Macaca mulatta: one gene and its partners. The main gene of each other region encodes a partner of the protein of the gene in region 4 in a complex. Links are inferred from orthologs where the notes say so. Each region holds a gene or a part of one and is shown on either strand. Other genes may lie near its edges.

Region 1 (3,500 bases), on a different chromosome or scaffold from region 4:
GCAGATCGCGCTGAACGTGGACGGGGCCTGCGCCGACGAGACCAGCACGTATTCCTCGTGAGTTCCCGGCCCCAAGCCTGTCCGGTTTCCCTGTGTTCACACAGGAGCCTCCCAAAGACCTTAAAGACACTGACCCCCTTTGCCCCGTCACTGGGCTCCCCACCAGCGTCCCAGCCTTTGGAGGGCTGGTCCTGTCTCAGACCCGACTCTCCCTGAGCTAACTGGTCCCAGAGCTCCCGCCCACTCCTCGTCTCTTGGTCTACAAACAAGGCCATGGATTTTCTCATCCCCAGGCTCCGCTCCTGAGACCCGCGTAGGCTACCCTGCGGCCTTGGTCCCTGACTGTGGCACTTCAGAAGGTGTCTGGGGGGTGGAGTGCGCTGTGGCCACAGGCCCTGGCTCAGAGCTGCCTTCCCCTGTGATGTTGCTTCTCCCTGTGCTCCAGGAAGCTGATGGACAAACAGACCTTCTGCTCTTCCCAGACCACCAGTAACACATCCCGTTATGCCGCTGCACTCTACAGGCAAGGTACCCAGGGCTGGGCGTCCCATGGTGGGGACGTGGCGTTGTGGGGGCTGGGCAGGGAGAGAACCTCCCCAGCCTGGTGTCCATCTCCCACCTGCCCTGAAAGCTAGACACCTGCAGGAGCCGGGCAGGTGTGGAAACAACAGAAATGACACATTGTCAGGGGATTGGAAGTGGCCACCTTTGGGGCCTGCTGGTTGGACACTGCCTGACTAGATGGGGTGGGGCTCCAAGTTCATTTGTCCTCCCGGGACACAGATACATACAAGTAGCATAATATAAGTTTGGGGACAGAATTTTGTCTTTAAATACAAAGCTTATGACAGAGCAATTCCATTCCTAGGCAGCATCTATCCAAAAGAAATGAAAACATGTGTCCACACAAAACCACACACAGGTGTTCACAGTAGCATCTTCATGATAGCCAAAATGTGAAACAACCCAGATGCCCATCCGCTGGATTCATGGAGAAACAGAATGTGGTCCATTCACACAATGGATGTTATTTGACCACGGAAAAGAATGAAGCACCGATGCTACCACGCAGATGAACCTTGAGAACATGGTGCTAAGTGAAAGAAGCCACGGGCTTCCTCACTCGCAGCTACGCGCTGTGTGCTTATGTCTCAGTCAGCGACCAAGCACATACTCAACGGTGGTCCCAAAAGGTTATAATGGAGCTGAAGAAGTGGCTCACCTAGTGATATCTTAACGAGCCTGACCTTGTGTAGGCCTAGGCTAACTCGTATGTTTGTGTCTTAGTTTTTTGTTTGTTTCTTTTGCTTTGAGACAGTGTCTCGCTCTGTCGCCCAGGCTGGAGTGCAGTGGCACAATCTCAGCTCACTGCAACCTCCGCCTCCTGGGTTCAAGTGATTCTCCTGCCTCAGCCTCCCAAATAGCTGGGATTACAGGCACGCACCACCACACCTGGCTAATTTTTGTATTTTTAGTAGAGACGGGATTCTGCCACGTTGGCAAGGCTGATCTCAAACTCCTGACCTCAGGTGATCCACCCACTTCGGCCTCCCAAAGTGCTGGGATTACAGGTGTGAGCCACCACGCCCAGCCTGTGTCTTAGTTTTTAGTAGAAAGTGTAAAAAGTTTAAAAAAACCCAAAAAAACAAAAACAAGGTAAAAGCATATAGCTGGGCGTGGTGCCTCTTTCCTGTAATCCCAGCGCTTTGGGAGGCTGAGGCAGGCAGACTGCTTGAGCCCAGGAGTTCCCGACCAGCCTGGGCAACATAGTAAAATCCCTTCTCTACAAAAAATACAAGCATTAGCTGGGCATGGTGGCACACCCCTTAGTCCTAGCTACTGAGGAAGCTGAGGTGGGAGGATTGCTTGACCCTGGGAGGCGGAGGTTGCAGTAAGCTGAGATTCCACCACTGCACTCCAGCCTGGGCAATAGAGCAAGACTCTGTCTTGAAAAAAGCATATATAATAAAGATATATTGGCCGGGCGCGGTGGCTCACGCCTGTAATCCCAGCACTTTGGGAGGCCGAGACGGGCGGATCACGAGGTCAGGAGATCGAGACCATCCTGGCTGACACGGTGATACCCCGTCTCTACTAAAAAATACAAAAAACTAGCCGGGCGAGGTGGCGGGCGCCTGTAGTCCCAGCTACTCGGGAGGCTGAGGCAGGAGAATGGCGTGAACCCAGGAGGCGGAGCTTGCAGTGAGCTGAGATCCGGCCACTGCACTCCAGCCTGGGCAGCAGAGCGGGGCTCTGTCTCAAAAAAAAAAAAAAAGATATATTTTTCATAAATTTATTTATGTATTTTTTTTTAGAGGGAGTCTCACTCTGTTGCCCAGGTTGGAATGCAGTGGCTCAATCTTGGCTCACTGAAACCTCTGCCTGCCGGTTTCAAGCAATTCTCCTGTGTCAGACTCCCGAGTAGCTGGAACTACAGGTGCAGGCCACCACTCCCAGCTAATTTTGTATTTTTAGTAGAGACAGGGTTTTTGCCATGTTGGCCAGGCTGGTCTCGAACTCCTGACCTCACGTGATCCACCCACCTCGGCCTCCCAAAGTGCTGGGATTATAGGCATGAGCCACTGTGCCCAGCCTATTTTTTTTATAAGTTTAGTGTAGCCTAAGTGTGCAGTCTTTATGAAGTCTACAGTAGCGTGTAGTAATGTCATAGGCATTCACATTCACTCGCCACTCACTCTCACCCAGAGCAGCCTCAGTCCTATAAGCTGTTTTTAGTCTTTTATACTATACTTTTACTGTACCTTTTTTATGTTTAGGGATTTTTGGGTCTTTTTCTTTGTGTGGTTTTTGTTTGTTTGTTTGTTTGTTTGAATTTTTTAATTTTTCTGGAGACCGGGTCTCACTCTGTCACCCAGGCTGGAGTACAGTGGTGATCATAGCTCACTGCAGCCTCTATCTCCTGGGCTCAAGCAATCGCCTTCCCTCAGTCTCCTGAGTAGCTAGGACAACAGGCCGTGCCACCACATCTGGCTAATTTTTTTAAAAGAATTTTGTTGAGATGGGGTCTGGCTATATTGCCCAGGCTGGTCTCAAACTCCTGGGCTCAAGTGATCCTCCAGCCTCTACCTCCCAAAGTGCTGGGATTACAGATATGAGCCACTGCACCCAGCCTAGATATATTTAGATCACAAATACCATTCTGTTACAACTGCCTACAGTATTCAGGGGAGTAGCATGCTGTACAGTGTGTAACCTGGGAGCAACAGGCCATACCATAGAGCCAAGGCATGTAGTCTCTGCTGTCTGGGTTTGTATAAGTGCACTCTGCGATGTTTGCACAATGATGAAATCATCTAACAATGAATTTTTTAGAACATATCCCCATTGTTAAGTGATGTTTGGCTGTACGTGAAATGTCCAAAACAGGCAAATCCACAGAGGCAGAAAGTAGATTAGTGGCTACCAGGGACTAGTGGGAGAGTGGAGTGGGGATTGCCCGGTTCTTTTTGTGGTGATGAGAATGTTCTAAAATTGATTGT
Region 2 (4,178 bases), on a different chromosome or scaffold from region 4:
TATCCCAGGACGGGAAATCTATCCCAGGAATATAATCCGAAAGAAAACAAAAACCAAAACAAAATTGAAAAAAAGCACGTCGAATGTACCAGATATTCACTACAGCATTATTTAAAACAGGGAAAAAAGAAACAATCAGGGAAATACTTAAATCATGATACAGCCACTGGAGAACTATGCAGTCTTTGATGCCGTAACAGAGAAATGTTATTTGAAAAAGCAGGATACAGGCCAGGCGCAGTGGCTGACGCCTGTAACCCCAGCACATTGGGAGGCCGAGGCGGGTGGCATCACTCGAGCTCAGGAGTTCAAGACCAGTGTGAGCAACACAGTGAAATCCCGTCTCTACCAAAAATACAAAAAAAAAAAAAAAAAAAAGAAAAAAAAGAAAAAGAAAAAGAAAAAAGAAAAAAAAAATTAGCCGGGCGTGGTGGCATGTATTTAGAGTCCCAGCTACTTGGGAGGCTGAGGTGGGAGCATGGCTTGAGGCTGGGAGGCAGAGGTTGCAGTATGCAGAAACCTCGCCTCAAAAAAAGAAAAGAAAAAGGATACGAAATTGTGATACAACTCTGTGAAGACTACTAGACACATTACAAAATTTTTAATAGTAGTACTCTACGTGGCATTCTGGTAGAAACGATTTCCTTTCCTCAAACTCCCCGTAATAATGTTTTTATACAGTCTGGGGGGATGGGAGATAACATTAAACGACACTTTTTATATCACAAACGCTGGAGTCAATAAAAGTTCTTTAAATTCCTCCAGCAGTAGAGCAAACTTGGTATTCCGATTCTGTCCAGGCTTTGACCAAGAGCGCACCCGAGGGCCACCGCCTTCGTGATCCCAAGCGGGTGTGACTGGGCACCAGTTGGTCCACTGCGGCTGTTCCAACGCTGCCCTCACAGCCTCACCCCAGGACTCCACCAGGAGCACAGGGAAGGGGTCCCCGAGAGTGGGCGAGGTCGCTGCCCGGAGGTAGTGACCACTCCAAGGTCACCATGGAGAACCCGCAGACAGGGCTCCGCACGGCCCAAGACTCCCCGACTCTAAGTCCAGGTCTCGCTCTCTGTGCCGCGCCCCTCGTCCCATCCCGAGCAGCTACCCCCAAGCTCCCAGGGGCTCCGCCGAGGCGAAGCCTCACATTGCGGCTTGGCGGCCGACAAGACCCGCGACCCTGATCTCGGCACCTCCACGCCACCGCCCGGGGGCCAAGACCCCCGAGCACCGCCACATAGCGTAGCCCAGACCGGTTCCCTCATCCTTTTTCGCCCTCTCAACCCAGCTTTTCCCGACTCCGGGAAGAACCGGGAAGAGAAGGCGGAGGGGAGCGAAGCGCCGCCTGATAAATACTGTGGCCCAGTCCCGCCCCCGAAACGTCACATCCGGCCCGTGCCAAGATGGCAGCGCCCAGGCGGTGCCACGCAGACTTCCGCCCGGTGCGGAGACCTAAAGCTGGCAGCGGGTCGCGTCGCAGGTGAAGTGGTGACGCGCGGTGTGGAGCCGCGGCCCGGGTGCGTCCCTGCCTGGTTCCTGGGCGGGGTTCCTGGAGAGAGGGCGTGTCGCGAGCCAAAGGCTCTCACCTGGGTGGTCCCGGGAATCTCGCCACGTGGGAGGGGAGGAGCTGAGAGGCCACTGGAGGGACGCACCGACTGGGGGACCGGAAAGCAAGGGGGTTGGGTTCCGCCAGGGTCCGCGTGTCAGTCCACTCTGGTAATCTCGTCCCCCCTTCTCTCCCAGGCAACATGTCGGAAGGAAACGCCGCCGGCGAGCCCAGCACTCCGGGAGGGCCCCGACCCCTTCTGACTGGGGCCCGGGGGCTCATCGGGCGGCGGCCGGCGCCTCCCCTCACCCCCGGCCGCCTTCCCTCCATCCGTTCCAGGGACCTCACCCTCGGGGGAGTCAAGAAGGTATCCAACGGCGCGTTTCTAAAGAAACTCAACTACCTTGAATTCCAAGCCCCGGCATTCAACTGATGTTTGTGTAGGGCCTACTATGTGTCAGGAGTGTCGTTGGGCCTCAAGCCTACCCCTCTTTAAATTCTAGGGAGCCTGTCCTATCTTCAAATCTAGGTACTGAGTACAAAATGTTGAAATGAGTCCCAGAGGTGGTTGAAAGACAGAGAATCCTAATAAGTTAAAGTCGTTCAAAAGTAATTTGAACAGTGTTTATTTACTCTTATTGTGTGTTTGGACATCTTTAAGAAACCCATGAAAGCCAGGCAGGCATAAACTTCACAGTCTTAGAGCGTTCAGAATTCACCATCTCAGTGTGCAAACTTGTTATCTAGAGTATCATGAATCCTAGGCATGGCATTCGAGGCTCTGTGGGCTGTCCCATGTGTATATGACTGTGGATGTCAAGAGTAGCCCAGAAAGGGGTGGGGTCAGGATGACAGAAGAATAAAGCAGGTTTTTGGGTTTTTTTTTTGAGACGAAGTCTCGCCCTAGTCCCCCAAACTGGAGTGTAATGGCATGATCTTGGCTCACTGCAACCTCTGCCTCCCGGGTTTGAGTGATTCTCCTGCCTCAGCCTCCTGAGTAGCTGGGATTACAGGTGCCCGCCACCATGTCCAGCTGATTTTTGTATTTTTAGTAGACACAAGGTTTCACCATGTTGGCCAGGCTGTTCTTGAACCCCTGACCTTGTGATCCACCCACCTCGGCCTCCCAAAGTGCTGGGATTACAGGCGTGAGCCACCGCTCCCGGCCAAATAAAGCAGTTTTTTTTGTTTGTTTGTTTTGTTTTTAACAGAGTCTCTTTCTGTCGCCCAGGCTGTAGCACAGAGGCACCATCTCAGCTCACTGCAACCTCCACCTCCTGGGGTTCAAGCGATTCTCCTCCCTCAGCCTCCCGAGTAGCTGGGATTACAGAGGCCTGCCACCGCACCTGGCTAATTTTTGTAGTTTTTAGTAGAGACGGGGTTTCACCATCTTGGCCAGGCTGATCTTGAACTCCTGACCTCATGATCCACCTGCCTTGGCCTCCCAAAGTGCTGCGATTACAGGCGTGAGCCACCACGCCTGGACATAAAGCAGTCTTTAGAAACCTAACTTTGCCTTGGAAAATATGGAAAAACACTGCCAACAGTGATTGAGAGTATTGGCAGATCTGTGGCCTTCCCTACTTAGGCCTTGCTGCTAGAGATGTTCCCCCATGATACTGACTGGTCTCTATAGCAGTTTGAAGATAAGAGGTGAGACCAGAGAAATTCCTTTGCTTTTAGAAGTCCCAGAGGACCTTCTTTCAGGATCTTCTTTCCTAAGGCTGCTGGTTAAAAATGGTTTTTGGTGCCCCTTTCTTCTATGCATAACTCCACTGCCGCCACACCATGACGTTCCTCCTTTTCAGGCACACGTGTATCTAGAAAACTGACAGCACTGTGGAATGTGCCAAAGAGAGTCATGGTGGCCGTGGTCTGTAGAAGATGCCCGTTGGGAGTTTTTATTTTCCTCTGTACTTTGGGGTCAGGACCTAACACATCAGTGACTCCTGTATTTTGCTTTCAGAAAACCTTCACCCCAAATATCATCAGTCGGAAGATCAAGGAAGAGTAAGTAGCTAGTCCTTCTGAATACTTGCCCCTTATTTACTTGCTCTGAATTTGGGGCTTTGGGGAGAAATAAGTAGGTTTGTGGCTCCAAAATTTAAATTTATATCTTTAGTTCTTTTCACTAGTGATTTTCAACCCTGGCTCCTAGGTGATTCTAATGTTTAAGCTTTAAAAAAAAAAAATACTGGTGTCTAGGGTTCCATCTCTAGAAATTGTGATTTAACTTGTTGGCAGTAGAATGGAGTGATTCTCTTTGATGGCCCGAGTTGAGAGCCAATAGTTTAAACAAAGATGTATCACGCTTTCCCTGAAGTTCCTTTGCATTTCTGCCTTCCTGCTTTCAGTCCCAATGCAAACAAAAATCTACATTTTTGGACAAGAACGTAAAGTAAAGCAAACTGAAAAAATCCTGCCTCATCAAGGAAGTGAGAAAAGTGCTAGAATTAGGATTGGATTCTGCTTCTCATGGTGTAATTATTGGCTCAAACTCTCCGCTGTCTTGGAGTGAAGTGGTATGGGAGAGTAAGGCCAGTTTTTGGAGACACAGTGAGTGAGTGGTTTCCCTTAATCCATTCTTTTTTCCAGGCCCAAGGAAGAAGTAACTGTCAAGAAGGAGAAGCGTGAAAGG
Region 3 (4,247 bases), on a different chromosome or scaffold from region 4:
GTAATCCCAGCTACTCAGGAGGCTGAGGCAGGGAATTGCTTGAACCCGGGAGGCAGAGGTTGCAATGAGCCAAGATGGCGACACTGCACTCCAGCCTGGGCAACAGAGTGAGACTCATCTCAAAAAAAAAAAAAATAAAAAGAAAATTAGGCCGGGCGCGGTGGCTCAAGCCTGTAATCCCAGCACTTTGGGAGGCCAAGACGGGTGGATCACGAGGTCAGGAGATGGAGACCATCCTGGCTAACACGGTGAAACCCCGTCTCTACTAAAAAATACAAAGAACTAGCCGGGCGAGGTGGCAGGCGCCTGTAGTCCCAGCTACTCGGGAGGCTGAGGCAGGAGAATGGCGTAAACCTGGGAGGTGGAGCTTGCAGTGAGCTGAGATCCGGCCACTGCACTCCAGCCTGGGTGACAGAGCGAGAGTCCGTCTCAAAAAGAAAAAAAAAAAAATTAACCAGGTGTAGTGGAGCGCACCTGTGGCCCCAGCTATTCTGGCAGGCTGAGATGGGAGGATTGCTTGAGCCCAGGAGTTCAAGGCTGCAGTGAGCTCTGACTGCACCAGTGCATTCCAGCCTGGGCAACAGAGGAAGACCCTGTCTCTTAAAAAAAAGAATAAACTACAATGTTTCTGGCAGCCCAGATGCCACCAGCCTCACTACTCTCTGAGGGGTGGGATTTTAACATGCAAAGGCCCACTAACCCGATCACATCTTGCAACTTGAGCTGATTAATACTTTGTTAAAACCTGGACCACGAAAACAGAGATAGGCCGGCGAGGTGGCTCACGCCTGTAATCCCAACACTTTGGGAGGCCGAGGCGGGTGGATCACGAGGTCAGGAGTTCAAGACTAGTCTGGCCAAGATGGTGAAACCCCGTCTCTACTAAAAAATATAAAAATTAGCTAGGTATTATGGCGGGCGCCAGTAATCCCAGCAACTCGGGAGGCTGAGGCAGGGAATTGCTTGAACACCGGAGGTAGAGGTTACAGTGAGCCGAGATCGCGCCACTGCACTCCAGCCTGAGCGACAGAGCGAGACTCTGTCTCAAAAAAGAAACGACAGAGCGAGACTCTGTTTCAAAAAAGAAAAAAAGAGGCTGGGCGCGGTGGCTCACAACTGTAATCCCAGCACTTTGGGAGGCCAAGGCGGGCGGATCACGAGGTCAGGAAATCGAGACCATCCTGGCTAACACGGTGAAACACTGTCTCTACTAAAAATACAAAAAATTAGCCGGGCTTGGTGGCAAGCGCCTATAGTCCCAGCTACTTGGGAGGCTGAGGCAGGAGGAGAATCGCTTGAACCCAGGAGGCGAAGGTTCCAATGAGTCGAGATCGCGCCACTGCACTCCAGCCTGGGCGACAGAGCGAGACTCCGTCTCAAAAAAAAAAAAAGAAAAAAGAAAAAAAGAAAAGAAAAGAAAACACGAGATAATCCTGTCCGCAAACGCATAGCAGTCTTACGTAGGCCTGGTGAAAGGATGCAGGAACACTCCCCCACCCGCGCCCCGGAGAAAGGCGAACGCGCAGCGCGAGGTTCCGGGTCCGCCAGGCTCCCGGCATGCAGCGCTGCAATCCCGGCGAGCACCTTGGCGCGCGGAGCTGGCACCTTGGCGCGGTCGGCGGCGGCGGGGACAGCTGTGACGTGTGAGGTTCTTGGTCTGCTGGCAGCTAGGGGCGACGAGGCGGGACGTCATGGAAGTGTAAGTCTCCCCGGGCGCGTCCCTTTTCGGCCGAGGAGCCCATCGGTTTGACCGCTGAGAGCCGAGATCCTTGGGAACTTGGCGACCCTCGTACGGAAGTGAGGGCAGCGGGCCGGCCCTGTCCGGGAGGGCCGCGGGGTGGGGACGGGGACGAACGGGACTCTCGCTTTGCCCCTCCGAACCTTCGCTTCCCCTCCACACCCTGTGTCTGGGGTGCGCGGCCGAACACCTCCGGGTCTGGTTGCCTTTCAGTGTGCGCCCTCCTTCTCTCATTCATTTACCAGCGTTTTTGGGTCACAGTGCGGGGGTGGAGCCCAGCCTGGTATCCGAGCCAGGACTTAGAAGGCTATAAAGGCCTGAGTCTGTTCGCCCTGAAAGTACCTGGAGAAAAGATGAATCAGGGCCGGGTAGAGCTCTGCTTGCAGCACTGGGCCCCTGGGGAGCTCTCACTCGGAAGAGCTGCTCTCAGAGTTTGATGGGAGCAGTCAACGCTGTGAGGGAAGGGGCTAGTTTTTGTGGGGAGAAGGGAAGGATGTGAGCCAGGACTGGGACCGGAGAAACAGCACGGGGTGTGTGGGTGTGTACAGGCGAGGGTAAAAGATTTTCTGACAATTTAACTCCACGTGGTCTTTTCCATGCTTGCTCGTTGCACGTCGTGCAAATGGAAGTTTTTGCATCTACTCCGAATGTGGGCTTTATATGGTTGATATTAACTTGTAGGTATTTACCTATCTTGTGTTCTCTGTGCACTGATTATTTGATTCAGTTTCCTTTATGTTCTTTTGCCTCGTGTTTAATGGTTATATGTACGATGGCATTTCAGATTTTTACATTCTTAATTGTTTTTTCTTAAGAAACAGGGTCTTGCTGTGTCCCCCAGGCGGGAGTGCAATGGTGTAATCATGGTTCACTGCAGCCTCACCTTCCGGACTCAAGCAATCCTGCTTCAGCCCCTCCAGTAGCTGGGACTACAGGCCCACACCATCACTCATGGCTAATTTTTTAAAAAAGTTTTGTAGATACAGGATCTCACTACAGCCCAGGCTGGTCTCCAGCTCCTAAGCTCAAGTGATCCTCCTGCCTTGTACTCCCAAAATGCTGGGATTGCAGGCGTGAGCCACCTCACCTGGTCCCTTCCCATTTTTTTTTTTTTTTAACTTAACACAATATGTCTGTGTAACTGAAATGAAAGGATCATGAAACAATAATGTATGGAGTACACTCTCATATTGTCTATTTTTTAAGATGAAGGGGGCCAAGCATGGTGGCTCATGTCAGTAATCCCAGCACTTTGGGAAGCTTAGGCAGGAGGATCACTTGAGCCTGGGAGGTGGAGACCAGCCTGGGCAACATAGGGAGACCCTGTCTCTACAAAAAATTAAAAAGCTAGTTGGGTGTGGTAGTGCATGCCTGTAGTCTCAGCTACTTACAAGGCAGAGATGGGAGGACCGCTTGAGACCAGGAGGCTGCAGTGAGCTCAGATGGAGCCACTGCACTCCTGACAGAGTGACAGAGCAAGGCTCTGTCTAAAACAATACAAAACAGAACAAAAAAGGTTGACCCACTGAATTAATTTTGCAACCCACGGATCGGATTTCATCTGCAACCTGAAAAACTATTCATATAATTTACTCTAGTCCAAGCCATCATTACTAATTTTTCCCTCTTTACTGGAGCATTTCCTGTGAGCATACAACCCTGCTTTAATGTATTCATCTTAGAAAATCCCCTGTCCCCACATACATGTCCACCTCTTACTCCATTTCTGCTTCCCATCCCAACAAAACTTCTTGAAAGTGCTGATTAGCCCCTCTTTCTCTCAACCATTCTGTTGGGCTTTCTTCCTCACTGGTCTACAGAAATGAATGTTAAGATTACCTGATCCAGGGGGCGCGGTGGCTCACACCTGTAATCCCAGCACTTTAAGAGGCCAAGATGGGCGAATCGCCTGAGGTCAGGAGTTTGAGACCAACCTGGCCAACATGGCAAAACCTTGTCTCTACTAAAAATTAAAAAATTAGCCAGGTGTGGTTTTGGGTGCCTGTAATCCCAGCTACTCAGGAGGCTGAGACAGGAGAATCACTTGAATTCAGGAGGCAGAGGTTACAGTGAACCAGATTGTGCCACTGCGCTCCAGCCTGGGCGACAGAGCAAGACTACATCTCCAAAACAACAACAACAACAACAAAAAAAAAAACCCCTGATCCCTCCATCCCTCCGTCTTTTCAAATCCAGAGGTTGATTTTCTGGCCTCAACTTTTTTGATCTCTCAGCAGTGGTTAATACAGAAACTCTAGAAACTTTCCTTTCTTCATGTTACATGTTCCTTTGTGATATTTCCTCCTACATCAAGGATTACTTCACAGTGTCCTTCCCTGGGTCCCATTCCTCCCTTGCTGGATGTCTAAGTGTTGAGGTATCTTAGGTCTCAGTCCTGGGACCCTTTCTCTCCACGCTCTGTCATTTAACCCATCTGTGTGCTGATGGTTCCCAAAGGTGTGTTTCTAGCCTCTTCTCATCATCTATCCAATTGCATAGACCAAAAATC
Region 4 (3,500 bases):
ATTTCTTTCACAACTACTCTGTCATTTTAGCAAGCAGCAGCCATGGATGATGATACATAAACAAATGGCTACAGCCATGTTCCAGCAAAACTTTAGTTATAAAAACAAGCTGTGGAGCAGATTGCTGACCCCTGTTCTAGCCCAAGGACAAAGGAATGTTGCTGATTTCTAGTTATTTCACTGTGGCGAAGGTCTTCAGCTCTAGGAAGCATAGAGGAAGGGATTCTGGGAGGTTGTAGCAGTGGAAAAATTCCTTTTTTCCTCTGATCGCCCTTTCAGCTCTTTCCTTCTGACTGAAAATCATCTTCAGCACCTCTGTTTTACCACCTCTGCCACCACCCACCCACTGCGAGTCCTATTGGCTATAGGTTGTATGTAGGCAGTAGTAGAGCTACCAAAGGATATTAAGAAATGAAGTGATAATTAATAAATCATGTAGTGTTTCTGATTTTAGCTCTTAAAAACAGTTCTTAAATTTGCTCTTCACACCCCCTCCATTTCTGTCCCTGGTACCGAACTATGTTCAGGCTCATGGCTTTTACCTCGACAGCTGCAGTAGCATCTTAACTGGCTTCCATGACTCCATCGGTCTCAGAGAAGCCAGCCTGATTTGGGATAACAGTCGTGAGCCACTGCCCCTTGCCCCCGATCCGTCTTAAATGCAGGTCTGACCAAGGCACTCTACCGCCTACAATTTGTTTATACTGGAGATTCAAGTTCAAACTCCTGGGTTTACCACACTGAGTCCCTGCATTGCTCACCAGCCTCATCTCCACCACTGTACCTCAAAAGTTAGGTTTCAGGAGGAACAGACTGTTTTTGGTTTCCTGCCACATCATGCTGTTTCACGCCTCGGGACTCATGTTGTTCCCCCTGCTTAGAAGGTTCTTCTTACTCTTTACAGATGACTAACTCTTTATTCTTTAAGACTCGGCTCTGCCATTGTCTCTAGGAAGTCACTGAACTGCCCCCTACCCCCAGGTTGGGCCACAGCCTGTTCTCCGAGTACCCAACCTGAGAGTTCAGGGTGGCTTTACTTACCTCTATCTTAATGCCAACCAGATGGGTACTGAAGTCAGCTGTGTGTTTCTCTTTTAGAATTCATGTTGTTCCCCCAAACACCTATCATAACACCTGGCACAGTACAAGTATTCAGTAAATATTCATAAGCTGGATAAATGACCAAATAGAGCCTCTGGATTGGGCCTTGTAGTCCTACTTTGCCACTTCATGGGGTCAGGGAACAGAGGGAGTAGGTCACCGTTCATTCAGTATGTAAATCCATTTCCAAGTCATGTCTGTTTTAAAACAAGGGAATGGGCCGGGCACAGTGGCTCATGCCAGTAATCCCAGCACTTTGGGAGGCTGAGGCAGGCCGATCACTTGAGGCCAGGAGTTCGAGACCAGCCTGGCCAACATGGCATAACCCTGTCTCTACTAAAAGACAAAAATCAGCCTGGCATGGTGGCATACACCTGTAATCCTACCTACTTGGGTGGCTGAGGCACGAGAATCGCATGAACCCAGGAGGCAGAGGTTGCAGTGAGCCAAGATCGTGCCACGGCACACCAGCCTGGATGACAGAGTGAGACTCTGTCTCTAAATAAATAAATAAATAAAACAAGGGAATGGCCTTTCTCTCAACTATGGCTTTCCAGTACTGCCAGAGCCTAGTGCTATAACTATCTGGGTTCTCTTAAGTTCGGACCCAAGGAAATTCAGGAGCATGACAGACATACTTTATTTTACTTCTGAATTGCTGTGAAAAAACAATACTACTCTAGTCCTTTTATTCATTGGCTGACATCAGTAAATGTCACTATTAACTTTTTTTGTTTTTTTTGTTTGTTTTTTTTTTTTCCAAGATGGAGTCTTGCTCTGTCACCCAGGCTGGAGTGTAGTGGTGCGATCTCAGCTCAGCCTCCCAAGTAGCTGGGATTACAGGCACTTGCCACTGCACCGGGGTAATTTTTGTATTTTTAGTAGAGACAGGGTTTCGCCATGTTAGCCAGGCTGATCTCGAACTCCTGACCTCAAATGATCCACCCGCCTCGGTCTCCCAAAGTGCTGGGATTACAGGTGTAAGCCACCATGCCCAGCCATTAACTTTATAAATTTTATTTTTCACTGTGCAACAGAATATGCCTATTTAGTCTTTATTTAAACTTTTTATTTATATAAATTATATTTTTACTGTATTTATTTTATATATGTAATTTGGATTTATTTGATTTTGAATATAGATTTTTATTCTCAAGCTGCTTTTTAAAAATTCTTTATGCAGGCCGGGCGCGGTGGCTCACGCCTGTAATCCCTGCACTTTGGGAGGCCGAGGCGGGCGGATCACGAGGTCAGGAGATCGAGACCATCCTGGCTAACACGGTGAAACCCCGTCTCTACTAAAATACAAAAAATTAGCCGGGCGCGGTGGCGGGCGCCTGTAGTCCCAGCTACTCGGGAGGCTGAGGCAGGAGAATGGCGCGAACCCGGGAGGCGGAGCTTGCAGTGAGCCGAGATGGTGCCACTGCACTCCAGCCTGGGCGACAGAGTGAAGACTCCGCCTCAAAAAAAAAAAAAAAAAAAAATTCTTTATGCATTGGTCATATAACCAAGCCAAGATCTAGCATACAGGAAATTGTTAGTATTGATATTTTGAAAAATTTTGAGATTAAAGAGCAGGTTTTGAAAAATTAAGAATGTTAAATAATGTATCAACATTTGTCATTTGACATATCTCCAAAATAATTGACTCCTGTTTTCTACTGTCTTAAAAACTAGGGTCAGTTGGATCTCTTAAGGAGCAATACAGGCCTTTTATATAGAATAAAGGACTCTCAGAATGCTGGGTAAGTACTAGTTTTTTTAATTTTAAGAAAATTTTTATTATTGCAAAAGTAATGTATGTGTTGGGAATAAAGCTAATACAAAATTACATAAACCTGTCCTGTGTATCATCCCCACCTCCTATGATATATTACATTTCCCAGAGGTAGCTGCTCTTAATAATTTAGTATATATCCTTTCTTCTAGCTATATATAAATACACATAGATGATTATATATTTATATATAATCTTTCTTTTTTTTTTTTTTTAACAAAAATGGAATCATGCTATCCATTCTGTTTTGCAACTTGTTTTTTTCACTTACTATATCTTGGACATCTTTTCATGTTGGTACACACAGCTCTGTCTCATTCTTTTTAAGGTAAGCCTTTCTTTTGGTAAATATGTCACTGTGGTGACCTTGTCTGTTAATTTTAAGTAGTGATGTAGATTATTAGATTATCCTGTAGTCTTTACCTTATTAATTTTACTTTATTCCCCTGCAGTAAAATGAAGGGGTCAGATAACCAAGAAAAACTAGTATATCAAATCATAGAGGATGCAGGAAATAAAGGTAAGCATGTGAAGGATGAAGCAGAAAAAAACATTGTCTTTGGAGCTTAATATAGGGACCCAGATCTCAGCTTCCCAGGGTAGAGCTCGGTGAACAGAGTAT
Region 5 (3,500 bases), on a different chromosome or scaffold from region 4:
AGTACCTACCACTGAGAATTCAGACCCTGGGCCACCACCACCTGCCCCCACACTTGTCATTAATGAAAAGGACATGTACCTGGTTCCTAAGCTGAGCTTGATAGGTAAGGAATTTTAACCCCTGGAACTGTGACTTGCCTTAATTGTGGATTCTTCTTGATTGATTATCAAATGTATGAATCAGGTGAACATTTACCTTGGTAAATCAGACTGATTTACCAATCAGTCTGAACATTTGCTATGTGTCAAACATCGTGGTGGATAACAATGAAAAAATCATGGTCTCTGTCATGGGGCTTTAGGAGACATACATTAATCAGAAAATCACATCGATATATCATTAAACGGTGATAAGTACTATGAAGGAAATATTCCTATGAAGGAACTGTCATAGTATTATGACACATACATTAATCAGAAAATCACATCGATATATAATTAAACCGTGATAAGTACCATGAAGGTAAAGTATGAGGTGTTATGAAAATATATAATGGAGGCCGGGCGCGGTGGCTCAAGCCTGTAATCCCAGCACTTTGGGAGGCCGAGACGGGTGGATCACGAGGTCAGGAGATCCAGACCATCCTGGGTAACACGGTGAAACCCCGTCTCTACTAAAAAATACAAAAATCTAGCTGGGCGAGGTGGCAGGCGCCTGTAGTCCCAGCTACTTGGGAGGCTGAGGCAGGAGAATGGCATAAACCCGGGAGGCGGAGCTTGCAGTGAGCTGAGATGCGGCCACTGCACTGCAGCCTGGGCAACAGAGTGAGACTCCATCTAAAAAAAAAGAAAAAGAAAATATATAATGGAGACTTTGGGAGACTGAGGCAGGCAAATTGCATAAGGCCAGGAGTTCCAGACCAGCCTGGGCAACATGGTGAAACCCCATCTCTACTAAAATTACAAAAATTAGCCAGGTATGGTGGTGTACACCTGTAATCCCAGCTACTCGGGAGGCTGGGGCAGGAGAATTGCTTGAACCCAGGAGACAGAGGTTGCAGTGAGCCAAGACTGCGCCACTGCACGCCAGCCTGGGCGACAGAGTGAGACTGTCTCAGAAAAAAAGAAGAAAATATATAATGAGGGACGGGATTCATCTGGGAGTTTAGGCCTCATGTTTCTTTGAGAAGGTGACATTTGAGCTAAGATTTAAAGTGGAAGCTAACAGTGAGGTAACAGGAAAAGCATTTTTGGCAAAGGGAATAGTATGTAGTAAAAAAAAAAAAAAAAAAAAAAAAAAAAAAACAGCATTTGTAGACCAGGCACGGTGGCTCATGCCTGTAATCCGAGCACTTTGGGAGGCCAGGGCGGGCGGGTCACAAGGTCAGGAGATCAAGACCATCCTGGCTAACACGTTGAAACCCTGTCTCTAAAAAAAAAATACAAAAATTAGCCGGGCATGGTGGCGGGTGCTGTAGTCCCAGCTACTCTGGAGGCTGAGGCAGGAGAATGGCATGAACCCGGGAGGCAGAGCTTGCAGTGAGCCAAGATCTGAGATCATGCCATTGCACTCCAGCTCTGTCACACTCCAGCCTGGGTAACAGAGCAAGACTCCATCTCAAAAAAAAAAAAGCATTTGAGGAAATGAGAGAGTGTCAGTATAGCTAAAGCATTGTAAGCAAAGCAAAGAGGCATGAGATAAGGTTAGAGACATAGATAGGCAGGGGTCTGATATCAGAAGCTAATCAGGATCGACCTGCTTAGTACTTGGATGGGAAACAGGCAGGGACTAAATCAAGTAAGACCTTATAGAGCATTTGTTCTTTATGCTAAGAGCAAAGGAAAACCACTAAAGGATTTTTTAGGAAATGACATGATCTAATTTATACTTTTAAAAGATTTTTTGTCTACAGAAAGGATGGGAGAATGGGGCAAAGTAAAAGTTGACAGACTGGTGGAAAATGAAACAGAGGGTGAAGGAGACAAGTATTAAGAATGACATTTCTGTGTCTGACTTGCACATGTGGAAGAATGGTGATATCATTGGCCATGAAAGAGAGTATTGGAGGAGAAAGACTATAAGCTTCTTTTTGAACATGTTGAGTTTCAGATCATTTCATCCTTTACTTGAATTTCTTATAGCTCTTCAGCCCCCTAAGCAACTCTGATCTAGAGGCACCTATAGATGTCTTTGGAATGAAAGACACCTGCTCTCATGTTTGGTCATTTGCTGTCATACAGTCATACAGTCTAAGTGTTCAATTATTTGTTTGGCAGGAAAAGGTAAAAGGCGCAGATCATCTGATGAAGATGCTGCTGGGGAACCCAAGGCCAAGAGACCAAAACATACTACAGATAACAAGGAGGTAATGGGGCTTCTTGATTAGAAGTCCTCACCCTGAAGCAGGCCAGAAAGAGCACTCAGATAACAAGCCCCAAGAGAGCTTAAAGCTTCCTGAGCTAAGAAGCAGTAGGATTATGAACCTCATTAAATATTAGAAATAGAATGAACCATTCTATTCATTCACAAAGAATGAACCATTACTGTCTCCCTTCTGAGCCTTAATTCTTTCATTGAACAGAGATAACAGGCTATGTAAAAAGGGGCCTAGAAAAAGTTTAGATTGCTCAATATGGCAAGAACCTAAAAACAGTGGTGAAAAATGGGTCTAAAAACTATACATAGGCCTGAACTTATATTCAGTGCCTTCTTAGCATGCCTATAAAGATGTCAGTAAGCATCTCAAACTTAGTGTGGCCAAAACAGAATAATTGATTCCTCCTCTTAGTAAAAGACACTACCACCTAGGCCAGCCACCTAGGACACCACCATTTCTGCTTAGGCCAAAATCCTTGGAACCCTCTAATCTCACAGTAAAACATACCAGCCCAGTTTCCAAAATTACCTCAAATCCAACCATTTCTCATCTTTTAACTGCCGTCTCTCATCAACTCTTTCCTAACCCTTTCGTTAATGGTCTCCCTAGCTGCATTCTTACCTACTTAGTAGCCAAAATGACTTTCTAAGTTCAAAACAAAACAATACATCCACTGATTAGACTCCTTTAATAGCTTTCCTTTACTCTTAGAAGAAATCCAAGATACGGGCTAGGAAGCCTTACATGATCTAGGTCTTCGTATGATCTGTTGGAGACAGGCTTTTCAACCTCACCTCTGACCCATCTCCGTCTTGCTCACTGTGTTCCCCCTACTGACTTTCTATCTCTTAAACATGTCAAACTCTTTCTAGTCTTTAGACTTTGGCCCTTATCATGCCTCTGGCTTCAAATGTTTGTCCCCAGATCTTCATGTAGTGGTCTCTGTTTTTATCATTTCTGTCTTAAATGCTCTTTTCATAGACTTCAAGCACCATTGTCCTCTCCTACACTGGTCCCTACCACATTTCTCATTTCATATACTTCACAGCATTTATATTTATAACTGGAATTATTTATTATTTGTGTACATGTTTGTCTAAGAGGTGTGGACTTTATCCTGAAGACAAGGGAGAGCCATTGATGGATTTTAAGCAGAGAAATGAAGTAACTGGATTTATATGT
Region 6 (3,500 bases), on a different chromosome or scaffold from region 4:
ATAAAATTAGATAGGCATGGTGGTGCATGCCTGTAATCTCAACTACTCGGGAGGCTGAGGCAGGAGAATTGCTTGAACCTGGGAGGTGGAGGTTGCAGTGAGCTGAGACCGCACCATTACACTCCACCCTGGGCAACAAGAGTGACACTCCATCTCAAAAAAATCTCCAAGTTTTCGGGGAGACTGATTTAAGGAGTAATAAAACTCTGGTCTCCTGCACAGCCAGCTCTGTGTGAATTACTCTTTCTATATTGCAATTCCCCTGTCTTGATAAATCAGCTCTGTCCAGACAACAGGCATGGTGAACCCCTTGGGCAGTTACAAAATCATATCTGAAAATGTTCTCAGTATCATAGCCATTATGTCAAATCAAATGCCATATATTCTACTTGGGTAATTCACAGAAAACAGGAAACAATGTTTCATTACAAAAAGATGTTGAATATATGATTTGCTTCTGGGGCCTTAAATGTAGAAGGACATTAAAATTGGCCATCATTGGCAGTGTGTCATTGGCTGGGCGCCGTGGCTCATGCCTATAATCCTAGCACTTTGGAAGGCTGAGGCAGGCGGATCACTTGAGGTCAGGAGTTTGAGACCAAGCTGGCCAACATGGTGAAACCCCGTCTCTCCTAAAAAAATTCAAAAATAAGTCCTATAATCCCAGCTACTTAGGAGGCTGAGACAGGAGAATCACTTAAGCAAGGGAGGGAGGTTACAGTGAGCCACAATTGTGCCACCTGGGTGACGGAGCAAGACTTCATCTGAAAAAAATAAATAAATAAATAATTTTAAAAATTAAATTGGCTGTCTAAAAGTGCAGTGCCTTGTTACTGCTATTCCTTGTAAATGAATTAAAACTTGGACTGCCACATCCTGAGTGTTACGTAGATTTACAGCAGTTACAGTTATCTCACCTTTAAGGCAAATATTTTTAAGTTGCTAAGGCTAGTTTGTATAATTTTAAACCTCAAAGATGAGACCTATGAAGTCCTTGATTCTACATGTGTATTTTAACTCAACTACTACTTAGTTGCTAAGACTTCCACCAGAACGGTTCTCTCAATACTCTTAACATTTGCTGTTAGAATCACCTGGGAAGCTTCTAAAACTGACTCTTGCTCAATCCTCACCCCAAGAGATCTGGATTGATTGGTTCAGTTCAGTGATTCTCAGAACTTAGCATACATAAGAATTATCTGGAAGGCTTCTTAAAACACCAGTACTGGGCTCACCCACAGTTTCTTTTTTCTTTAGGTCTGTGGTGGAACTCACAGTTTGCATTTCTACCAAGTTCTGAGTGATGCTGCTGCAGACAGCACTCTTTGAGAACCATTGCTCTAGGTTTTTAAGCTACCCAAGTGATTCTAATGGCAGCCAGGGTTGAGAACTGAGAGGCGCTTGCTTTGTAGTGTTGGCCCTGTGATAAAGTGAGCTGGGAGTTTTCAGCCTTTTGGTCCAAAGAACTGCGTATATTCAAATTGTAGACAGTAAAATTGATATAAAGAAGTAGCACCTTGTTGGTTTTAGGTGGTGTTCCTTCACCATTAATGTGGCAGACTAAGAGGGGTGACATTAATGACGAGGCAAGAAACCCTGGTGAAGAGTAGAGCAGCTGTGTGAAGTACTGTGACTTGCATAATTTTGTAAGGAGGGCAAGTGAGAGTGAGTGGATTCAGAAATGAGACTGAGCTGATGGAGCCAAAACCAAAGCCACTCCTCTGACTTCCTCCAGGTGGACTGGAGGACATATAGTTTCTGTCTTGGGTTCACAGGCTTAAATGAGGCTCAGTATTATCAGCGGGAAAAGAGATGTAAAGAGTGTGCATTATAATCATCACTACAGTTGAATGCAGACTTCTATTGGAAGAACTCTAGCGTAGGGAACCCTGTTTTTACATTGCCAGCTCAGTTCTCATAGTATAATCAGAGGATTCAAAAGTTCATTACAACTTGCATGTATGATGTCACTCCTGTCCCCAAAATTGAAGAGTACAGGTTTATCGTAACTTTAATGATTTCAGCTGTTTTCCTCTGAATTTTTTTTTCTTGGACAGGCTTCTTTCGAGTCTCATCAAACGACCATTCCCATTTCTAAAAGGGAGACATTAGACTAGATCTCAGGGATTCTTCCTAACACTCACATGCTAAGATAAATCATTTAAAGTCTTAAAGTATATATGACTAATGATGATGTGAAAAAGAAAGATTTTTTTTTTTTTATGTTTTTATGTTGATATGAAAAAGAAAGATTTCTTCTCCTCATCAGTCTGGATGTGGGACAGTAGTAGTGGGTGAGGGAGTTGAAGCCATCATTATCTTACCTGCCAAAGATGTGTGTGTGTGAGAAATTCAACAGTTACTTGTCAAATGTTTATTTCTCCATGTTTTGCTTTCCAAAAGTATTTTAAATCAACTATGCTACTTAAGGGATGCAGTTTTATATTTTGCTTTAAAGTGTTGATTTCTTTTTTATGTGTGATCCAGTAAATCTTAATCATTAATAGTGCCTTTCAGAATTTGGCTACTCATCTGGTATAACTATTTCTGATGGCTGGGAATAAAGGAAGAGGACGTGCTGCTTATACCTTTAATATTGAGGCTGTTGGATTTAGCAAAGGCGAAAAGTTACCTGATGTAGTGTTGAAACCACCCCCACTATTTCCTGTAAGTATATGAACTGTTGAATTCTCATAGTGTGTTTTTTCATTTTTTAGAGAATATTAAATTCTATATAGGACTTGATATATGATTATAGTATCCTCAAGTATAAGAAAGTAAAGGAGAGTGTGTTTCACTTACCTTTAAATATTTTCATGATCTGCTTTCTTAAAATAAAGAAAACAAAACTGTATACATCTTTCTATTAATATATTTAGTACTATGTGAACCAGTAAAGAATTAGTTTTCAATTCTTACAACTCCTGTTGGTGTTACTGATAAATTCCAGTATGAAAATAGTAGTTTTAAAAGTCATTAGGTTTTATAATGGTTCTAAGTTCCCACCCTACCGCACCTTCACTTTTCTTCTCGTCTTGTATCTATAGAACTTAAGTTTGCTCCTTAGTATGCCACTTGACTTTGTCCCCCACTGAACTTTTTTTGCTTATTTTAGTGTTGTTTTAAAATTTAGTGAGTATGCTGCAAGCTAAATTTGCATAATATGTAATGTTTTCACTTTATGTTTAGTTTAGAATGTATCCAGGGATCTAGATATCTCACACACAAGGGGTCTCCGCTTTTTGCTGTTGATATTTTACCTTTTTGATATTCAGCGCAGCATAAAAACAAAGACAAATATCTCAGGTATTGGCATAATGTCACTTTACAGTGATTTTTAAAACAAGCTCTTTTCCATGTGTGAGATTACTTCTAAACACTGGGGATGTTAGTACATAGTATTTCTTTATGCTTGGAATGAAATTAAAATTCCTTACTACTGGGTAAAAGGCTCTTCCTGATCTCTCCGTTCTGATGTCTCTCTGACTCTTTCTACCACT
Region 7 (2,979 bases), on a different chromosome or scaffold from region 4:
GTCAGGAGATCGAGACCATCCTGGCTAACACGGTGAAACCCCATCTCTACTAAAAAATACAAAAAACTAGCCGGGCGAGGTGGCGGGCGCCTGTAGTCCCAGCTACTCGGGAGGCTGAGGCAGGAGAATGGCGGGAACCCGGAAGGCGGAGCTGCAGTGAGCTGAGATCCGGCCACTGCACTCCAGCTTGGGCGACAGAGCAAGACTCCGTCTCAAAAAAAAAAAAAAAAAATTATTATTATTATTTGTAGAGACTAGATCTTGCCATGTTGCCCAGGCTGGTCTTGAACTCCTTGGGTCAAGCAATCCTCCTGCCTCAGCCCCCAAATTAATGGAATTACAGGTGTGAGCCACTATGCCCAGTCTACTTTTTATTCTTTTTTTTTGGGCTGGGACTGAGTTTCAGTCTTGTTGCCCAGGCTGGAGTGCAGTGGCGCGATCTCGGCTCACCGTGACCTCCACATCCCAGGTTCAAACGATTCTCCTGCCTCAGCCTCCCAAGTAGCTGGGATTACAGGCATGTGGCACCACGCCTGGCTAATTTTGTATTTTTAGTAGAGACGGGGTTTCTCCATGTTGGTCAGTCTGGTCACGAACTCCCAGCCTCAGGTGATCTGCTGGCCTCGGCTTACCAAAGTGCTGGGATTACAGGCGTGAGCCACCGTGCCTGGCCTTTTTTTTTTTTTTTTGAGACAGAGTCTCTTTCACCCAGGCTGGCGTGTAGTGACGCAATCTCTGCTGCCTGGGTTCAAGCGATTCTCCTGCTCATCCTCCCTAGTAGCTGGGATTACAGGCACCTGCTACTGCGTCTGGCTAATTTTTGTAGTTTTGATAGAGACGGGGTTTCACCATCTTGGCTAGGCTGGTCTTGAACTCCTGACCTCAGCCTCCCAAAGTTCTGGGATTACAGGCATGAGCCACCATACCCAGCCTTTTCTCTTCTTTTGAGTCCACACCAGAATCGCCCTTAATGCTCAATTCTTAACAATGCAGACTTTTCGCAGCATTTACTTCAAAACTCTTCTACTGTCTAACCGTGACTTAGTCTTAGGCATTTTGTTACAGCAGCACAAAATACACCAGAGCAGTCACCTTCCATGTTATGTTTCCAACCAGCCTTCAGCTGGACTTGAGAAGAACCGTGGGAATCAGGGAGGGGAGGAGCGGCGTTTGTGAGTCACAGGTCTCTCAGATTCCCTTAGTGTTAGAGTGTAGTAGGAATGACATCGCTGTTTGTAGACCTACCCTTGTCAAGGGGCATCAAATGAGCAGGGAGGTTCTTTACCATATTTAAAGATATTAAGTAGGCTGGGCACGGTGGCTCACGCCTGTAATCCCAGCACCTTGGGAGGCTGAGGTGGGCAGATCAAAAGTTCAGGAGTTCCAGACCAGCCTGGCCAACATAATGAAAACCCGTCTCTACTAAAAATACAAAAAAATTAGCCGAGTGCGGTGACGGGCACCTTTAATCCCATCTACTTGGGAGGCTGAGGCAAGGAGAATTGCATGAACCCGAAAGGCAGAGGTTGCAGTGAGCCGAGATCACCCCATTGCCCTCCAGCCTGGGTGACAGTGTGAGATTTCATCTCAAAAAAAAAAAAAAAAAAAAAAAGACATTAAATAATACCTACTTTTTTTTTTTTTTTTTTTTTTGATACGGAGTCTCACTTAGTCGCCAGGCTGGAGTACAGTGGCACAATCTCAGCTCGCTGCAATCTCTGCCTTCCAGGTTCAAGCGATTCTCCTGTCTCAGCGTCCCAGGCAGCTGGGATTAAAGGCGCCTGCCACCGTGCCCGGCTAATTTTATATTTTTGGTAGAGACGGGGTTTCACCATGTTGGCCAGGATGGTCTTGAACTCCTGACCTCAGATGATCCGCCCGCTTTCGCCTCGCACATATTAAGTAATACCTACTTTTAACAGTCATGAGCATCATGTTTCTTTTAATGTGGGTCACTTCTTTTTTCTCATTGCCAGAGCCGTGTCCCAAATGCGAACATCCTCGTGCTTACTTCATGCAGCTTCAGACCCGCTCTGCAGATGAGCCGATGACCACCTTCTACAAGTGCTGCAATGCTCAGTGTGGACACCGCTGGAGGGATTAGGGCCAGGATGGCCCAGCTGCCTTAGCGTGTGCTTACCTTGTCCCTTGGCGTAGATGCTTAGCTGGCAGTATGAATCGTGTGTCCTGAGGGTTTTTGCTGGTGTGGTGGAAAGATAAACCTTTTGAGGTGAAGAGCTGGGGGGTCAGGAAATGTGATCTATCTGCCAGTCAGAGTGGATGAAGTCATGAATGTCTGGGAGTTTTTCTGTGTGGGGAGGAGACAGAGACCCATAAGTAAATATGCTCTGTTTAAAGTCCTGTTCTTTCATCTTCCATATTTATTGGCAGTTGACATTCCCTTACTCCCAATCAACACTCTTAAACATTTGTACTGTTTGCAAAACTTAACCCTAAACATTTAACTGTTACTTGTAAACTTGTGTAATTTATTATTTATTTTAATCACAATTCTGAGTATTTCATTCAATTGAAAGTTCTAATATTGCGTTCTCAGTGTTTTTTTTTTTTTTTTTTTTTTTTTTGAGACGGAGTCTTGCTCTGTCACCCAGGCTGGAGTGCAGTGGCTGGATCTCAGCTCACTGCAAGATCCGCCTCCCAGGTTTACGCCATTCTCCTGCCTCAGCCTCCCGAGTAGCTGGGACTACAGGCGCCCGCCACCTCGCCCGGCTATTTTTTTGTATTTTTTTTTAGTAGAGACGGGGTTTCACCGTGTTAGCCGGGATCGTCTCTCGATCTCCTGACCTCGTGATCCGCCCGTCTCGGCCTCCCAAAGTGCTGGGATTACAGGCTTGAGCCACCGCGCCCGGCCCTCAGTGTTTTAAATAGCTTAAGTGGTAGAAAGCAAACCCCAAATCACAGTGATCCCAGAATTGACTACATACTTAGATTTGAACAGGCTATGAAAATACTAATCAC

What was found.
Region 1: POLR3F (region 4) and POLR3E share a complex: the UniProt entries of both Homo sapiens proteins name them as parts of the RNA polymerase III complex. The link is inferred for Macaca mulatta from reciprocal best matches to the Homo sapiens genes POLR3F and POLR3E.
Region 2: POLR3F (region 4) and POLR3D share a complex: the UniProt entries of both Homo sapiens proteins name them as parts of the RNA polymerase III complex. The link is inferred for Macaca mulatta from reciprocal best matches to the Homo sapiens genes POLR3F and POLR3D.
Region 3: POLR3F (region 4) and CRCP share a complex: the UniProt entries of both Homo sapiens proteins name them as parts of the RNA polymerase III complex. The link is inferred for Macaca mulatta from reciprocal best matches to the Homo sapiens genes POLR3F and CRCP.
Region 5: POLR3F (region 4) and POLR3C share a complex: the UniProt entries of both Homo sapiens proteins name them as parts of the RNA polymerase III complex. The link is inferred for Macaca mulatta from reciprocal best matches to the Homo sapiens genes POLR3F and POLR3C.
Region 6: POLR3F (region 4) and POLR3G share a complex: the UniProt entries of both Homo sapiens proteins name them as parts of the RNA polymerase III complex. The link is inferred for Macaca mulatta from reciprocal best matches to the Homo sapiens genes POLR3F and POLR3G.
Region 7: POLR3F (region 4) and POLR3K share a complex: the UniProt entries of both Homo sapiens proteins name them as parts of the RNA polymerase III complex. The link is inferred for Macaca mulatta from reciprocal best matches to the Homo sapiens genes POLR3F and POLR3K.

The regions. Positions count from the first base shown.
Region 1 is NC_133425.1:21,775,034-21,778,533, forward strand, and holds part of POLR3E (DNA-directed RNA polymerase III subunit RPC5), read left to right. Parts: coding exon 1-57; intron 58-445; coding exon 446-528; intron 529-2,543; exon of another isoform or gene 2,544-2,934; intron 2,935-3,500. UniProt on the Homo sapiens protein: DNA-dependent RNA polymerase catalyzes the transcription of DNA into RNA using the four ribonucleoside triphosphates as substrates.
Region 2 is NC_133413.1:23,888,829-23,893,006, forward strand, and holds the start of POLR3D (DNA-directed RNA polymerase III subunit RPC4), read left to right. Parts: upstream 1-1,378; 5' UTR 1,379-1,511; intron 1,512-1,737; 5' UTR 1,738-1,742; coding exon 1,743-1,907; intron 1,908-3,506; coding exon 3,507-3,550; intron 3,551-4,135; coding exon 4,136-4,178. UniProt on the Homo sapiens protein: DNA-dependent RNA polymerase catalyzes the transcription of DNA into RNA using the four ribonucleoside triphosphates as substrates.
Region 3 is NC_133408.1:58,913,386-58,917,632, reverse strand, and holds the start of CRCP (DNA-directed RNA polymerase III subunit RPC9), read left to right. Parts: upstream 1-1,447; 5' UTR 1,448-1,477; coding exon 1,478-1,699; intron 1,700-4,247. UniProt on the Homo sapiens protein: DNA-dependent RNA polymerase catalyzes the transcription of DNA into RNA using the four ribonucleoside triphosphates as substrates.
Region 4 is NC_133415.1:65,528,537-65,532,036, reverse strand, and holds part of POLR3F (DNA-directed RNA polymerase III subunit RPC6), read left to right. Parts: intron 1-2,778; coding exon 2,779-2,846; intron 2,847-3,330; coding exon 3,331-3,398; intron 3,399-3,500. UniProt on the Homo sapiens protein: DNA-dependent RNA polymerase catalyzes the transcription of DNA into RNA using the four ribonucleoside triphosphates as substrates.
Region 5 is NC_133406.1:119,468,309-119,471,808, reverse strand, and holds part of POLR3C (DNA-directed RNA polymerase III subunit RPC3), read left to right. Parts: coding exon 1-104; intron 105-2,217; coding exon 2,218-2,306; intron 2,307-3,500. UniProt on the Homo sapiens protein: DNA-dependent RNA polymerase catalyzes the transcription of DNA into RNA using the four ribonucleoside triphosphates as substrates.
Region 6 is NC_133411.1:96,874,252-96,877,751, forward strand, and holds part of POLR3G (DNA-directed RNA polymerase III subunit RPC7), read left to right. Parts: intron 1-2,507; exon of another isoform or gene 2,508-2,517; 5' UTR 2,518-2,550; coding exon 2,551-2,667; intron 2,668-3,500. UniProt on the Homo sapiens protein: DNA-dependent RNA polymerase catalyzes the transcription of DNA into RNA using the four ribonucleoside triphosphates as substrates.
Region 7 is NC_133425.1:1,237,419-1,240,397, reverse strand, and holds the end of POLR3K (DNA-directed RNA polymerase III subunit RPC10), read left to right. Parts: intron 1-1,976; coding exon 1,977-2,104; 3' UTR 2,105-2,479; downstream 2,480-2,979. UniProt on the Homo sapiens protein: Core component of RNA polymerase III (Pol III) which synthesizes small non-coding RNAs using the four ribonucleoside triphosphates as substrates. Can mediate Pol I proofreading of the nascent RNA transcript.